Drosophila melanogaster: one gene and its partners. Changing the gene in region 1 together with any one later gene gives a genetic interaction. Each region holds a gene or a part of one and is shown in the gene's direction. Other genes may lie near its edges.

Region 1 (4,837 bases):
GTCCCAACATGGCCTTAAACTACGAGTAGAGGAGCTTGCCTGCCAGGAGGACATCCAAAACGTGGGCATATTCCGCCCACTAACAATAATCCGAGGTGACGGTCGAGAATACCGCGCCAACACTGAAATTAAAACCGAGACGTGGATAAGCGAGCTAAAGCGTAAGGAGAAACGGCCGGACTTTCGGTTCACACAGCCCACTGGAACCTATGGAGCCCGATATTTGAAACGTATAACAATGCGCGACGCAAGGCGTGTGCAACTTGAGATAAATAATCCGTTTTGGGATGTTACCGAAACGCCCAGCTTTCTTCTCAAACTCAACGATAACGAGATACCACTTGACAGCCTTAGCTCACTGCAAACCTTCGAGGAAGGGACCATGGATCCATTAAACATCCCTCTAGATCTGCCCCGTCGCAATCTGGAAAAAATTTTGAATCCGGAAGGTTCTGATAGAGCATCAGACCAAGTAGCGAGCGATATCAATGATGAGCCGCCAAGCCCTGAGACGCTGTTATTGCAAGTGTCAAATTTTGATTGCTGGCTTCTACACGGCTATATGAAAAGAATTCGGAGGCATGACAAGCATGAACTGCGTCAGTTGTTCCCCTGTTCCTTCCGTTGGCTCTTGGAGACGTGTGCCAGCACAATAGGCATAGTCTGGGAGGAGCTCTACGAGGAACTGCTCATTGTGGAAGTGATGTACCATCACAGCATCAGGGACTGGAGCAATCATAGGAACTATCTGTGTATTCAACACAATACTCAAGAGAAGGACATCCGAACCCTCGCCAGGACGTACAAGGAGTTATGGTAGTATATTAGAAGTATTAAAAGTTTTGAATTAACAAACAACGATGCCATCTGTATAAAATATAATATTCTTCTACGTAGTGCTCTACCTCAAATGATAGATTTTCTTTTTGTGTATATAACCTGTAGAAATCTTTCAACAGTGATTATGATGCAAATAAATCTGTGTGTTAAGCAGTTACCAAAGTACAAACATGACACACCCACTACGTCAATAGCTTAAGTTCAGGAATTTATGATTTACACACTTATCGAAAGTGATCAATTCATTTAACAAAAATATTCGTTGTCTACCCATACGTTTTCCTATGCCCAAATGTTAAATTTGCATCCATTTTAGATTGAAACGATCTATGTATTAAGGGGCAGTGTTATCTCCTTGGCCGCGACTGTGTGAGCAAAGGCACATTAACATCAATATCAATAGGCAAATTAGCGTTTATCAGAACAACAACAATCACATTAGCAGCAACAATGCGTGTCGCGGTTTTGTTTACAAAAATCTTCTTCAAAAGAGAGCGCCAGGCCCCACGGTCATCACCAACTGGAGAGAGCAAAAAAAGAGCGTGAGAGTACTTGGGGAAACAGAGGAGCTCACTTGGCTTGTTTTTGAACAGTTCTACTTATAAAGTAATTATACCAAATAAACAACAAAATAAAATAAATAAACCAAAAAAAATCACTTACATATATAACAATTTAAAGGGTGTTCAATTGTGATAGTTTATATTTGCTTTAAGTTTAACGTTGTCAACGCTCTCATAGGAGCGATTTCCTTTTAATGTCTTACTAGCTTTGTTTCATATAAAGCAGTTATCTCTGATGATCCTACTTCAAAAATCCGGCGAAAGAGGTGATAAGAATTATCTTATGCTTTTTTTCGATATTCTTGTGATCTTACCTATATTTATAGCTATATCTAGCTAGAAAAGAGGCCACCTCCGCTTGGGAGCAGTGAGAGTGGGTAAAGAAATCATAGGCGCGCATTCGCACGGCGCGTTTCAGTGCTAATTTTAACGTCGTCGCTGACTGTTTCGCCTTATTGCCCTGCTGCGGTTTGAGTTTCCCTATTTTCCACTTTTCCACTGGCCGCGAGCACTGAGTTCGAATTCAATTTAAATTAGTTCCCATTGTGCCTTTGTACGCCTCTTTGCCCGTCCAGCGCAGTGTGATAACCAGAAACCAAAGTGCCTGTGCCCAAGAAGTGCAGTGGAATCGGATGTGTGGACAGGAATTTTAACCGTTGCAGCGCGCGACTTGAAGAGAACCGATCTGAAAGTGATGAAAGTGTGGAGGCCACAGAAATAGGAACCAAAAATAAATTCAAAATCAGAGTTTAAAAATAGCCGAGTGCATGGCAAATTATGAGATATCTAAAGACTGTCAATTAAAATAGCACTGTTGTGTCTGTGATTTGTTGGATATCTGTTGTTTTAGAAGTCTGCTGGTGAGTTGGTTTTTCGGTTTTTGAAAATGTTTTCATATTAATATGCGCGCGTGTGGTTACCATTCAAATGCTACGATTATGGAAAGACAGCTGTTTCAATACCGCCGAAAGTATAGTGGTGCTTCCATTTCTCAAGAGTTTAGCTGCCTAGCTGTTACGTCAACCTTTTGCGGGGGGTCGGGGGCTTATGCTTTACCATAGCATTTGATTCTCTAGTTTCTGTAGGCTGAGCCACCCCCCCCCCCTCATCCTCCTCTTCCTCCTCCCACCGCTATAATACCGACCGATCTGGCTGACGTTCTTGGCGGTTTTTGAGGTTAACAACATTTTCAGGCCGCTTTGTTTCGCTGTGAGCCAAACAATAAACAACTATTGACTCGCACTGGCCATGTTTAGCGAGCCGACTTACAAACAATTAATAGCTACTATTTTGTCACTTGCTGACTTTTATGCCAAAATATTTGCCTAAGCTGTTCGCATTAGCAAATCGAACAAATTGCTCAAAGCGAAAAAAAAATAAGAAAACAACCATATAGCACGCGCATTTATCTTGATTTCGATTCCATGTGACTAAATCATTATTTGTGGGCTTACAATTTGTTTTCCCAACTGAAGTTTGCCTTAGCCAATTGGGTCCTGTTTTTGCGGATTCTTTGTTGGTACAGTGGTCTACCCCAGTAGTGGACTAAAGATCAAAAATGTAGTTATTTTTATTAACCTATTCGATTTGATAATCAACACAGCCATACTTTGTTTACTTGTTAATACAAAGGTGGTAACAAAATGAAGTCCATAGGGTCAAGAGCAGGTTTTAATGATAGATAAAACAGCGCCTGGTTCTATAGCAATTTACCTACAACCCCAAGTGTATACTTATTTCATGGAGTAATTTACAGAATATCAACAAGTTTTCATGTGATATTGCACTCAAAATTTCTGGAAATTTCATCAGTGAAGCGTTTGCTTTTGTACAAACTAACGCCCACTGTATATGAGGAATATAATATGAGATTGGTGTTTGTCAAATGCTAATTAGTTTCATTATATCTGCCAGCCACGAGTGCAGTGGGGTGGAGTTCGGGGGCCGTGAAGTGTATTAATTGGATGAGCCGAAACAGTTTGATAAGCACAATATTGCTTGCCACGGATCTGGTCGGACATATGGTAGTAATCACGTCTGTCCGTCGAAATGTTTATCAATACCACCCTCTTACCTCCCCAAAAAGATACAAAAAGTAAGGCACTCTGCTGCCGCCAATGGATGTCAAACTGAAAAGACACTTTGATGGACATATTATGGACAGTTCGGCAAGCGGGAGCATATGAAATTCTAAATATAAACAATGCCAGGTATAACTGTGCACACCCCCACCCCCCCCTCCTTCAAACCATCTTCCACCCCCTTTCATTAAAGGAAAATTAGGAAAAGCAGGCGAGAAGGGTTGACAGATCCGAAAATAATCAAGGCAGCAAAGATTCGGCGGCAGACGAATGGCGTCTACCTGGCTGGACTTTGGATGATGAGTGTGCCAGGGATTGGGGAAGGGGAATTGGGATTGGGATCGGGATCCAAATGAGTCTCGTGCGGCACGTGGTTAGGTGGCTCTAAAACTGTTGCTACACTTATTTATAGCATCTGTAAATCCGTGGTTCCTGTAGGCAGAAAAAAAGTATTTTAGTCATAATTAAACTTGCTTTCAGACACTTTATTTTGAACTTGAATATTTAAGTTTGTTATACACGAATATAAATCATTAATTTGTTTGCATTTGTATGTTTTTAGTATTTTGTTTTTTTTTTTCAAATTTCACCTTCATTTGCGTAATGCGTAATGCCAGTGTAGTATGCATGAAAATCTGCAAAAAAAAATTGTGTATTTGTCTAATTTTATTTTTGAGTTCCTTTTCGGCGCTTCCGTTGCCTGTCTTTGTCATTTCCCGAAAACAGCAGAGTGAACAACAAAAATCTCGCCATGATTATTTTCTTGAAAAATTCGGTATTTGTTTGCTATTGTTTTGCTTTTTTGCCGTTTGTGTTTGTTATTCTGCTGCGTTTCGGAGGAAAAGAAAAGCTGGCGCTTGTCCCTGCAGCCATTCACATGCCACACACATTTAATAGACCTTTCATTTCGTTTGTTTATTTTTGCATCTCTAGTGTTCGGGTAGTGTATTTTTAAACATCAGTGACACCTATGACAGAACAGTAAATATGGGGTATAATATTAGAAATATATTTCTAAAAAAAAAGTAAACGATCCAAATAACTAAATAATTATGTTGCAAATGCATACTATAACAAATTGTTAAGTGTTAGACAAGGCGTATACTTAATATTTTGCAATATGTTGCTTAGTAAGGCAACATTTAGTAAAATGGAACTGTTTGCTATTAAACAATGGCACATTAAGCATAATTTTGTAACTTTAAAAGAATGTTATACAGTACGTATGCGTAATATTTTTTTAAGGATGTCAAAACTATGCTTCAGACGTATTTATCCATATAAATTTCTTGTTGTTCACGTCACTTAGTACCCACTGTACTTCCCATGCCGAAGAAATGGCAAGATTTTTAA
Region 2 (6,258 bases), 8.6 Mb from region 1:
CCGCCCGCTGGTCCTTTGGCACCCTGAAAGCCGTTTGCCTGGAAAATGAATTAAATCGGGTTACTATTGGTCAACTAATTACTGATAGCCACTCACATTTGGATGAGCCATCAGTATGCTGCATTGGGCCAGGCACTTGTGCGTGAGCGTGTCCATGTACTCCTGCGTCAGGTTGAAGTACCCGGTGGCCAGTTTCAGCCGTGATCCAGACAAGCAGTTGGAGAGCAGCCGCTTGGTCACCACGCTGTCGTGATGAATGCCGATCTGGCCCATCTCAAGCAGCGGAAAAATCCATGTGTCTGCCTGCGGATTCTGCTCTTTAGTTCGCGCCTGCCGCTGAAACGTCTCCTGCACTAAATCGGAAATACGTTTACGGGCAAGCTGGATAAACTGCTCCTTGGTGCCCTCGTACGGCAGTATTCGCCAGTTGCGGTGCAGTCCCTCGCTGGCATCTGGCGCCACTGCCAAACTAAACTCTTGAACGCGTTCGATGAACTGCGCATAGAAATCCGCCAACGGTTTGTCCTCAATGAGTATGTATCGATCCTGCCGGTTGGTGAAGTAGTCATTGGACAGATTGGCGCCTGATATGATCACGGCATCGTCGAACAGGTAGACCTTCATGTGCTGTAGTCCGAGAAGCTCATTCCACCGTGGCGGTGCTAGTCGCTTTGTCATCCCGCGCAGATCAGGCGTATGGTACAGGGATAGCTGCACCTGGCTCGCAAAGTCGCGGACCAGGGGTAGCAACATGGTCTTGGAGTTGAGGGTTCCCCGCGTGCCGCGTGTAAAGTCCAACAGCACGTTGAGCCTCAGGGCAGACTGTTGCTCCAGGCTGTGACGCAACGTCTGAACCATTGCGTTCTCCAGTTGCCCAGTGCCCAGGTACAAACTGGCCAGCACTATACGGCGTTTGGCCTGACCGATTCGTTGCACCAGCGTTTCGTAGAAGTGCTTTGGCTCGTGGATGACCTGAATTTGATCGCCTCGCAGCGGGAAGCACGGCGCTAGGTTGTGTAACCAACTTAGGCTCTCCAGTGCGGGTGCTCCAGGGAATCCGGTGGCCAGGACACTGGGCGCCTGCTGCAAGCAGCCCAGAAAATCGCCCTGAGCAGCCGGAGAGAGCTCCTGGCTGAAAAGGCGGCGAAGGTATGGCATCATCTTGGCGGGGATTTCTCTGACGGATTGGCAAGCGGATCCTCACTCTGGGCGGCTGCTATTTGATGACAGGGTATGGCGCATTGCTCACTGTCTGTTTGGCTGTATCCGGAACACACTTTCATTCATGGAGTGCTGTTTTATCACAAAAAAAACTTCGAATTTCAGCACGTAAATAAATTCCAGGTGGAACGCAAGTGTTGCAAAGCGAGCTGGGATTCGATAACAATTTATAGCTATCGGGAATTATCGACTGTTCATAATGGTGATGGTGATATGGTGATCCTGCTATGTGTTTCTTAAAAAAAAATAATATTTAAATCAAATTAATAAAAGCCTAACCATTTATCAATAGTTACTAACTGTTACATTTTTAACATTTTTGTGTATATCTACTTTTATATATATGCATAAAGAAATATTTGAATAAATTTACTTGAAATATTCAACCGGTATCTTACTAATATGCATTTCTTTTTGGTAATATTTAATTTTAGTTTAAAAAATCGTTTAATTTTAAACTGCAATAACATCGATGTTGTCAAATTTCTAGAAACATCGATAATACTAAGAATCGAATTAGTTTCACCTCTAGTTCAGGTCATAGAAAATAGACGCGCTGTTTTAAATGTGTGTTTGAAATAAAAATTGTGCAATAAACAAGCTAATAGCATTCAGGTCTATATCGAATTCTATACATTGTATATCTCTGTACGATAATTGTATATATTGTGCGAAACCGCGAGAAAATCGCACTCTGACCGTCGGAAACCTGGAAGATATGGAAAACGCCGATGCGACTTCGCAATCGGATGTCCACATCGACTACAAAACCCCCAAGAAGACCCACTCGCTGATCGACAGTGAGCAGTTGCTGGACAAGATCAACATCCTTACCACCAAGCCGGAGAATCACTCCCAGAATGCCAAGGTACGCGGAGGAATCGCAAACTGGCGATTACCACACGTGGGTGGTTTACAGTTAGCCACGGTTGCTAATCAAGAAAATTTGAAATGCCTCTAAACACAGTGTTTATGTAAATTGATTAAAAAAGGGCAGTACATGTTCAAGAATTAATGAAAAGGTTATGTTTATGTATTATAGGAAAAACGAAAAACATATGTACGTTCAAATGTGATGTTATATAGGATTTCCATTTCAAAAACATTTTTACAGTTCTATTTATCTTCTGTTTTTTTTACATAGCTCCTTTCTTCATTTCCTTTTACTGGCTATTGATGTACATATATCTTCTTTTATCCAATTATATATATACACATATGCTTTTTTAAGATTTTTTATTTTTTATATCTAGAACTGAAGTTTTTCTATGTCTAACTTTAGCTATATTATTTTCCTTTGTTCTGCCTTGGGCTATAAGAATTACCACCACCACTTAGGTCACTTTATTATATAGTAATGGATACATTCGCTTTCTTATACAGCTTCCCACTATCAAGGATTTTGTCATCATTAAGCCAATCAGCCGCGGCGCCTTTGGAAAAGTCTTCCTGGGCTACAAGAACAACGACTCGAAGCGGCTGTTCGCCATCAAGGTGATGCGCAAGTCAGAGATGATCAACAAGAACATGGTGTCCCAGGTAATCACGGAGCGGAATGCCCTGGCCCTCTCCCGCTCTCAGTTCTGTGTCAGTCTCTTCTACTCCCTGCAATCGCTCTCCTACGTCTACCTGGTGATGGAGTACATGGTGGGCGGGGATCTCAAGTCACTGCTGGCCATGTTTGGGTATTTTGACGAGCCCACGGCCCGGTTCTACGTGGCCGAGATGGTGATGGCGCTGCAGTATCTGCATCAGCACGGAATTGTCCACAGAGATATTAAACCGGACAACATGTTGCTCTCCTCCAGTGGCCATGTGAAGCTTACTGATTTTGGGTTGAGCAAAATCGATATGCGAAGAGATCTGGAAATATCAGACCTTATAAACTGCTCACCGAATTTAAACGCCCGCACGCCGGGCCAGCTTTTGTCGCTTACTTCGCACCTGTCTTTTGGGTCAGAGAAGAAACTGAATGACTTCGGTTCTGTTTCAAGTGGACAAAACAACGGAATGGGCTCGGTGGCCACGGGGACATCCCACTTGCTGCAGGCCATCAACAAGCATAGTCTGATAATGGAGCTGTCGGATAGCGAGGGCGACACCTCGCTCAATGATGCAGAGAAGACGAGCGATAGCAAGATATCTGGTGTTTCCCCCTTCTTTTCTGCCGAGGAGGCCAATGAATCCATTACTCATACCTGCACTACAAACGTAAATGTGGGTAAACATATTGCAATTAAAATGGATTTATTCATCTATCATTCTCCGAATCTTCAGCCCCAGGATAGCAGCTCGTCTTGTTCGTTCCACACTTGTAACTCGGCCGACCTGAGCAAGTGCTCACCACCACTGGAGTCAAAGGACGGTGCTGCTGCGGGCAATGCGATCCCCAGCAAGCGGCGCGTGGAATTCGTCTTGGATGCGGCACCCTGTCAGGTAAGTGGCTGGAAATCGGCCAAACCCGTAATCTCTGTATTTATTTGCATAAATGGTTGATTCTCTGAAAGGGCTGCAAGCTGGCCGAGCAAGACAGCAGCAACATGGCCACCAATGATGGCAAACATTTGCCCAAGATAGATAACGCAATCGAGGCTTCGTTTGAGTTTTCCATGGTGCGCAGGCGATCGGTCGACGAGGTGCGTTGGCATGTGCATGTGTGTGTGTCTGTCCATTGTGCGGTTTCCCTTTCTGTATTAAAATACTAGTATTTTATAACTAACTTTACAACTAACCAACATTAAATAGGTTAAAAGATATGTATACCACATATGTAGGTAGTTCAGTTAATAACTACCTCTACTGTTCCCTTTAGCGAAATCGCATCTCAAAGGGGCCGGAGGATTCAGGGGTGTCCAGTCGCAAGGGCGACGACTATTCCAGCTGCCACTTGAATCTGAATAGCGAGAGCACGGCTTCGTCGATTGAGAAGAATGTGGACAACCTAAGCCAATCCAAGGAGGATTTTAGCTGTTCAGATTACTCGCGCAGTTATAACGTGACCAACGGCAACGAGATGAGTGGCATCAACATGAACTCGCCGTTTCGGAATCTGTCCAAGCACTTTAAACGCCCCGACTTCCTGCGCGGCATGAAGCGAAAGATCAATTTGGTCAATCGCTCCGACAACATGTCCAGCATGGATACCGATGGCTGCAGTTCAAGCAATGGAAGTACCAACACCGGACTAACACAGGAAATTGAAATCCTTAATATTGGCAGCAGCACGCCCAAGAAGCGCAAGGCCCGTTCCTCGCCCATCCGTGGTGTGCTAAAGGTGCGCTCTTTATCCGATGACGAAATGCCCATAAATCATTTGCTTGGTCCGGAAGCAAATGTGGCCAACGTGGTCTTCTCTACGCCCGTATCTTCACAGAAGTTGCCACGTCGGGATGGTGGTCTTCTTGGAAAGCTCAAGGCCACTCGGTTCGCTCTTCCGCTGTCCATTGAGAACAAGAAACGGGAGCATGCGACCGCCGATAAGATGTCAGGCATTCAGTACCATCTGAAACTGTCCGACGATCCCACGATGTCGCCTATCAATCATGGAGCCGGCAATCTACCAAAGACGCCGAAAAACGTTAACATCAATACCCCGTTCCGCACACCGAAATCAGTGCGTCGCGGGGCTCGCGTGTCTAATGAGCGCATCTTGGGCACACCTGATTATCTGGCGCCGGAGTTACTGCTGAAGCAAGGTCACGGTCCGGCCGTCGACTGGTGGGCTCTGGGCGTCTGTTTCTACGAGTTCATGACCGGCATTCCACCCTTTAACGACGAGACACCTCAGAAAGTATTTGACAACATTCTGAATAAGAGTGAGTTTTGTTATTTCAAGAGTTTTCTTGCAAATATTATACCTATATTTTTGTTACCAATTCCTCACAGACATCGAATGGCCAGAAGGTGATGAGGCATTATCCGTCGAATCCATGGAGGCTGTGGAACTGCTCCTGACCATGGATCCCAATGAGCGACCGGCCGCAAAGGAAGTGCAACAAATGCGTCACTTTGCTTGCATCGACTGGGAGAATATAGGCAATACCGAGCCCCCATTTGTCCCGACACCAGACAATCCCACTGATACGGGATATTTCGATGCGCGCAACAATCTTCAGCACCTGCAGCTGTCCAATTTTGCCCTAGAAGAATGATTGCCAAGCGGAGCCCGGCTGCCTCCGTGTCAGCGTGCTCGTACCGAGCACTGTATTATCGTTATTTATATTTTCATGTAGCAATACCTAAGAGTAGACCCTTAATGTTCATCTGTTATCGTTCGTGTAGCCCTACGTATTTATATTTTGTTTAAAGTTCATTCAAGTGTATCATTATATTTTCGTGTACATTTAGTGGATTATTACTGTCATGATTGTCGATGATCATGGTCAGTGAAGAGTTTATATACAGGTACTGATGTCGATTTTGTTATTGTAACTACGCTTAAACAAATAGCTTCAAGTATGCACTTTCGAGACATGTATATCAAATAAAGTTATAGTCTACAAGATTTAAAACAAAGTTTCAGTGTTTGGCCCCATGTTTGTATTATGCTAAAAAGTATGTATAAATAAATGTTCACTTTTATACATTTTATGCAATTTTGAAAATTGCTTAAAATTTATCACTTTATTTAACCTATACCTAGTTAGATGATATATAACACCTGGAAAATAACACAACTGGCTGTTAGGATGTTTAGAATATTTCACTTGGTCGGTAAGCTACGTGGCCATTAACTTGAATTCAAAGTCCCAGACCTCTGGAATGGTTGTCAGGTAGCTCTCCTCGTAGAAGATGCTGATGAGTCGGCAGACCATATGAGGTACGGCCCGGATATCGGGAAATGTGGATTCCTTGAGCAGGCTAACGGCCCGAACGATCAAGGGCTTGATGTCGGTGAACTTCTTGTTGGCCAGCAGCATAGACAGCTCCCGGAGCGCACTTTCGTACTCTTCTGACGGTATGCGAAGGTCCCGATTGGCCGGAAACAGCGAAAAGATCACACAAGCCAAGCAACGAGTTAACACCTTTCGTCTGAAA
Region 3 (6,345 bases), on another chromosome or scaffold:
ATAAACAAAAGAGGCCACACGGCATTAGCGACAGATTCGATTCGATTCGATTAAAACTCTGGTCTATACGTGGTGAAGGCGAATTCCATGCAATTCGGATGGCAGAGTGTGTAAATTTGATTGAATCATCGAACGACATCCAATTGCTCAAGTAAAAAACCTGTTGTTTCTATCCACAGACGCCATATCAGATTGGAAGATGGCTTCAGTCAAAAGCGTTGCATGGCCTGGTTCCAGGAGTACACAACACCAGATGAACCGGAGACATTGGGTGAGTTGGATGACACTGCAGTGTTTTATGTTATTTGAATATGTGCAATATAAAGATATCGGCAATCTTCTTAAATCGCTCAGGCATACCAAATTCTGGGTATATAAAGAAATTGCTTATTTATTTCTTATTGGCCCTTCGAAATACTTATGTAACAAACTGATTCTTCAGGTCCCGATGGCATGGAAAAATTCTGCGAGGATATCGGCGTGGAGCCCGAGAATATTGTGATGCTGGTGCTGGCCTACAAAATGGGCGCCACCCAGATGGGCTTCTTCAGCCAGCAGGAGTGGCTAAAGGGCCTCACAGAACTCGACTGCGATTCGGCAGCGAAAATGGTTGTGAAATTGGACTATCTGCGCAGCATACTCAACGATCCCAACTCCTTTAAAAGCATCTACAGATACGCCTACGACTTTGCCAAGGTCAGTAATCCATTTGAATAAACAATGAGCTGCGTTTAATAAGGCTCTGCATATTCCGCAGGACTCGGACCAACGGTGTATGGATATACTCACTGCCAAAGCCATGCTTCAACTACTTTTGGGCAAACATTGGCCTCTGTATCCACAGTTCGCACAGTTTCTAGAGCAATCAAAGTACAAGGCGATCAACAAAGATCAGTGGTGTAATATTCTCGAGTTCTCGCGCACCATTAGCATTGATCTATCAAACTACGATATCGACGGAGCTTGTAAGTAACACAAAGGAGCTAACTAAACTAAACTGAACTATGTATTTCGCAACCGTATTAAAAGAAGCTGATAAATAAGTTAAAATAAGAACTTGAAACGGAGCATTTAGTTACCCCCATCTTTTTGCAGGGCCCGTCATGCTGGATGAGTTTGTTGAATGGCTGCGCCTGCAGCGGAGTCAGGTCACCTCCACAACCGGATCTAGCTGAGAAAAGCTGTATCGAGTCGCCTATTTCTAGTTCAACTTTGGGAGCTCAGTGCGGAGAGGAGTTCGCGGAGACTGAGTCGGAGATGGGATGCGATGCGATGGGATGGGAATGCTGATAAGATAGATCGGCGAAAATTTAAGACATAACCGCAGGACACTCACTGACACCCACACCCACACTCAGATCCACGATCAGATCCACCAGCCACTTCTTCGGCCTAAAACACACAAGCACACACTCACCCACACGGAAACACAAGGCATTTTGGAGAGACTGCGTACACTGGCAAAGCAACCAACTATGAAACTAAACTATTGATAATATATTTAATGTAATAATTTATGTATTAACGACGACAACTAAGAACTAAAACCACATTTTTCTACTTATAAGGCCTCTTTCGCAAACAAAAACAAAACATTAAAATCAGAACAGCAACAAGAGCCAAAACGGGGCAGCTTGTAAGGAGTAATCCCAGAGAACGAAACGATGGCAATAACCAAGAGACCCCAAATAGACCTATTCTAGAACATACAATCCTCCAACCCAAGCGACCCCTTCGAGATATCAGCAGGCATAGTCAAAATCTAAACGGAAATCTACACCAATAGTGGGGTATTCGTAGTCGTTATTAAATCAATGTAGAAAAACAAAATCTGGGGATTATTTAATAAAGTTATTAAGTAAACACATTATTTTTTCTATTTACTTGTGTGTGTTTTAGTGTTGTTTTTTTTTTATCAAAATTATTTTTAACCGTTATTTGAAAGTTTAACTGAAAAACATAGAAGGCTTTGAGATAGCTGTTTCTAATAATTTCTTTTTAACACAAATCAGGATCGAAACCTGCAATTACAAGGTGGCAGTATTTTTACTCAGAAAACGTTTGCAGCAATTCAAATTAGAAAAGGGGCTCTACAATATAAAGTTGACCGTTGACTGTTTAGTAAACTCAATTTATGAAACCCTTTTGAAATTTCAAAAATGTAACGTTAGTTTTTGTAGATTTTCAAATAAATAGCGGTTAAACACAGTGTTGCGCAGAGCAATAGGAAAAAATATTGCGCTCAATTCGAACAGAGTAAACGCCAGTAGGTAAATTCAAAAGGGTAACGGCCATAGAATTTGTTGTTCAACACTCAACAAAATACCGCGATACATACCAGAAAGTGTGCGATAGCCAGCGAAACGGGCACACCAATTCAGCTGACGCTTCACGTCCAATTCATTTTGGCATTTAAAAAATCGAACGGTTTCGGCGCGTTCTCCGCTTTGTGCTTGGTTTTCGTGCATTCGATGGGCAAAACCGAGATTTGATCGCCGCTTCTCTTGTCAACCGTGTGGATCTGATCTCCGTTTCCGAGGCACTTTCAGCCGATCGCCGGTGGAATTATAGGCTCAGAACGAGGAGTATCGCCGCAAAACTCCAGGCGAACGCAAACGCAAAAGGGGCAGTCCGTAGTAAAGAAGAAAGGAGAGCAAGATGGCCGCGAAGCCCGAGGATAAGAGCACGGATATTCCGGATCGCCTCGTCGACATCAACCAGCGGAAAACCTACAAGCGCATGCGGTTCTTCGGCAAGGTGAGTCCGGATGCGGATTTGCAGATGCCCGGGATCAGATCAGTCGAAGGGATCACACATTTACCTACACGCACACATGCACGCACCCGCATACACACATATCCATTTCCACATCCCGGTTTTCGTTCCGTTTTCCTTGCTGATGAGCATTCCCTTGTTGTTTTTGTAGCTCTCTCCTTTAAGAGCAGGAGAGAAAAAGAGAGCCTGTGTGTGGGAATCTTGTACGAGCCTGTGTGTGTGTGTTCATGCAGTTGGCTGCTTGTTCAGTTTTTTTTTTTGGCGCGGCTTCTTCGAATTTACATAGACAAGAAAAGGAACTGTTGCAACTTAGTTGAACCAACAATTTCCTCGTTGTGCTATTGGCATATAAATATTTTCTTGGAAGGGGCTCCGCAGATTGGAGCAAAGGTACTAAACATGTGATTGTTAAATATAAATTACTAATTTTATGTTGCCAACCAATATGGATAAAAAGTTTATACAGAATATGTTTGTAAAATAGACATCAATACGTTTATTAAACGCCATTTACTTGAAAATACCTATATGCAAAGTTTTATCATAGATCTGTTTTTAATACAGTATAAGGTTATGTTTTTGTATAATGTTTTTAAATACAAAATTAATATGCTTTATGCAGGGCGGGTTTGCAAAATGTTACGAGATCATCGATGTGGAAACCGACGACGTCTTCGCCGGCAAGATCGTATCCAAGAAGCTGATGATCAAACACAATCAGAAGGAGAAGACCGCCCAGGAGATAACTATTCACCGCAGCCTTAACCATCCGAACATTGTCAAGTTTCACAACTACTTTGAAGATTCGCAGAATATCTACATTGTGCTGGAGCTGTGCAAGAAAAGAGTGAGTTTAATAGAACATCTCTGCAATATGCCACCATGACACTTACCTCTCCGACTTACAGTCCATGATGGAGCTGCACAAACGTAGGAAAAGCATTACGGAGTTCGAATGCCGCTACTACATTTACCAGATAATCCAGGGCGTTAAGTACTTGCACGATAACCGCATTATCCATCGAGATCTGAAGCTGGGCAATCTCTTCCTCAACGATTTGTTGCACGTGAAGATCGGGGATTTCGGGTTGGCCACGCGCATTGAGTATGAGGGCGAGCGAAAAAAGACCTTATGCGGAACGCCCAACTATATAGCCCCGGAGATCCTCACCAAGAAGGGCCACTCCTTCGAGGTGGACATCTGGTCGATTGGCTGCGTCATGTACACACTGCTTGTGGGCCAGCCGCCGTTCGAAACCAAGACTCTGAAGGATACGTACTCGAAAATCAAGAAGTGCGAGTACCGCGTGCCCAGCTACTTAAGGAAACCGGCGGCGGATATGGTCATCGCCATGCTGCAGCCAAATCCGGAGAGCCGCCCGGCAATTGGTCAGCTGCTGAACTTTGAGTTCCTCAAGGGCTCAAAGGTGCCCATGTTCTTGCCCAGCTCTTGTCTGACAATGGCGCCGCGTATCGGCAGCAACGACACCATCGAGGATTCGATGCACCGCAAGCCACTGATGGAGATGAACGGCATCAGGCCCGACGACACTCGTCTGGAGTCGACCTTCCTCAAGGCCAATCTGCACGACGCCATTACCGCGTCAGCGCAGGTGTGCCGCCACAGCGAGGACTATCGCAGCGATATCGAGAGCCTGTACCAGCAGCTCACTAATCTTATCAACGGAAAGGTAAGTACCTTTTGCTCTATATTAGTTAAATAATTTAAGACTCTTATACCTCTTCACTTCTTTAGCCGCGAATTCTGCAAGGCAATCTGGGCGACGAGAACACAGATCCTGCAGCGCAGCCGCTCTTCTGGATATCCAAGTGGGTTGACTACAGCGACAAGTACGGATTTGGTTACCAGCTGTGCGATGAGGGCATCGGCGTGATGTTCAACGACACCACAAAGCTGATCCTGCTGCCGAATCAGATCAACGTACACTTCATCGACAAGGATGGCAAGGAGACGTACATGACCACCACGGATTACTGCAAGTCGCTTGACAAGAAGATGAAGCTGCTGTCGTACTTTAAGCGCTACATGATCGAGCACCTGGTGAAGGCAGGTGCCAACAATGTGAACATTGAGAGCGATCAAATCTCGCGTATGCCCCATTTACACTCCTGGTTCCGTACAACATGTGCCGTAGTTATGCATTTGACCAACGGTTCTGTGCAGGTTTGTATAATTGTACAGCATCGGCATCATGTACATCTGGTCCTAATGAACTATCTATCCTTCTTAGCTAAACTTCTCAGATCACATGAAGCTCATCCTCTGCCCGCGCATGAGTGCTATAACCTATATGGACCAGGAGAAGAACTTCCGCACCTACCGATTTTCGACCATTGTGGAGAACGGCGTGTCTAAAGACTTGTACCAGAAGATCCGATATGCCCAGGAGAAACTTAGGAAAATGCTGGAGAAGATGTTCACATAAGCGTAGCCAGCCCAACTATCATTATAAGGCCGAATGTTAGTTTAACGTAATTCACGAATGCCCTGGCCAACTTCATTTATAGCCCAGAAAGTATCCTCCTCTCCCATCATCTTTTAAAATTGTAGTTCCCGTTCAAATTGATTTGTTCGATGTTTATAGAATTTATTTGTTTTTGCCCCTTCCCCTTCATATCGAAAATACTGCTTAAGTTATATTCATCGTCAGTGTTGGGCCTCCCTCAAAAGTAATTTAATATATCTGTTTAATGGTTTTCGTACACGATCCGATCACTTAATGCATTTTAAAGAGATCAAATTAAATGTTTAAACTAAGCAAACGTGTTTCGAAATGCCTATATTCACCGAGGTGACTGATAACAAAATTTTAATGCTGGATACATTATAAAAGTAATAGTGTAATATTGTGCGTTCGTAGTGCGCTATAGCGCCATTTAAAATAATACATAAGTTACAATACTGCTGCAAAGTGTTTAAGTGTACAAGTATATTCAACTTTGGCCAGAAATATCTGTAGCTATAGGATACAATATGTAAATGCTTTTGAACTAAAAGCGAATATATATAAAATTTAATAAAATATCTGAAAAAAGATTGTTTGCAACGTTTAGGGCAGCTGTTCTTAAAATGCACCTGCCAGACTGTAGGTGACGCATTCAGGCGGCTGAGAATTATTTTGAACGAACAAACGTTACAGCCCTTGCATTTCACAACACTGGCATGAGTTATTTGAGAATGCTGTGAGATGGTAACACTGGCACCACTTCTGCGGTCACACCAAGTCAGCATATTGATTTTATTTTCTCGAAAAAAGATCCCAATACGTACACACACTCGCTGAAAAGCCGAACAAGTCTTAAACTTAGATGCAATTAGTGCCGAGGCGGACATAAATCCTCGACATGGGTGACAACGAACAGAAGGCGCTCCAGCTGATGGCCGAGGCGGAGAAGAAGTTGACCCAGCAGAAGGGCTTTCTGGGATCGCTGTTCGGGTGCGTATCAAATCAAAGAAGTTTCGCAATTTCTGTGGGAGTGGGGAAATGGAGCTGTGTCTGGTCTAGCCTAGCATCTCCACAACCCCACAAGGTACTGAGCCCTATTCCA

Evidence for each region.
Region 2: of tws (region 1) and gwl, changing one suppresses a phenotype caused by changing the other (phenotypic suppression), as found in Drosophila melanogaster (one study listed by BioGRID).
Region 3: of tws (region 1) and polo, changing one enhances a phenotype caused by changing the other (phenotypic enhancement), as found in Drosophila melanogaster (one study listed by BioGRID).

What each region holds. Positions count from the first base shown.
Region 1 is NT_033777.3:10,136,753-10,141,589, reverse strand, and holds the start of tws (twins), read left to right. Parts: upstream 1-1,817; 5' UTR 1,818-2,263; intron 2,264-4,837. Other genes in the region: TAF1B (TATA box-binding protein-associated factor RNA polymerase I subunit B), read left to right, coding at 1-820. UniProt on the Drosophila melanogaster protein: Could perform a substrate recognition function or could be responsible for targeting the enzyme complex to the appropriate subcellular compartment.
Region 2 is NT_033777.3:18,744,633-18,750,890, forward strand, and holds gwl (greatwall), read left to right. Parts: upstream 1-1,737; 5' UTR 1,738-1,939; coding exon 1,940-2,089; intron 2,090-2,604; coding exon 2,605-3,438; intron 3,439-3,498; coding exon 3,499-3,657; intron 3,658-3,728; coding exon 3,729-3,857; intron 3,858-4,033; coding exon 4,034-5,036; intron 5,037-5,106; coding exon 5,107-5,372; 3' UTR 5,373-5,728; downstream 5,729-6,258. Other genes in the region: PGS1 (phosphatidylglycerophosphate synthase 1), read right to left, coding at 1-38, 97-1,161; Epg5 (ectopic P-granules autophagy protein 5), read right to left, coding at 5,940-6,252.
Region 3 is NT_037436.4:20,307,652-20,313,996, forward strand, and holds polo (polo), read left to right. Parts: upstream 1-2,002; 5' UTR 2,003-2,658; coding exon 2,659-2,757; intron 2,758-3,397; coding exon 3,398-3,622; intron 3,623-3,683; coding exon 3,684-4,466; intron 4,467-4,531; coding exon 4,532-4,960; intron 4,961-5,027; coding exon 5,028-5,222; 3' UTR 5,223-5,815; downstream 5,816-6,345. Other genes in the region: SCCRO4 (squamous cell carcinoma-related oncogene 4), read left to right, coding at 180-271, 443-696, 758-965, 1,096-1,175; alphaSnap (alpha soluble NSF attachment protein), read left to right, coding at 6,142-6,233. UniProt on the Drosophila melanogaster protein: May play a role in regulating both nuclear and cytoplasmic aspects of the mitotic cycle. Regulates localization of the augmin complex during mitosis by ensuring its location on mitotic spindles.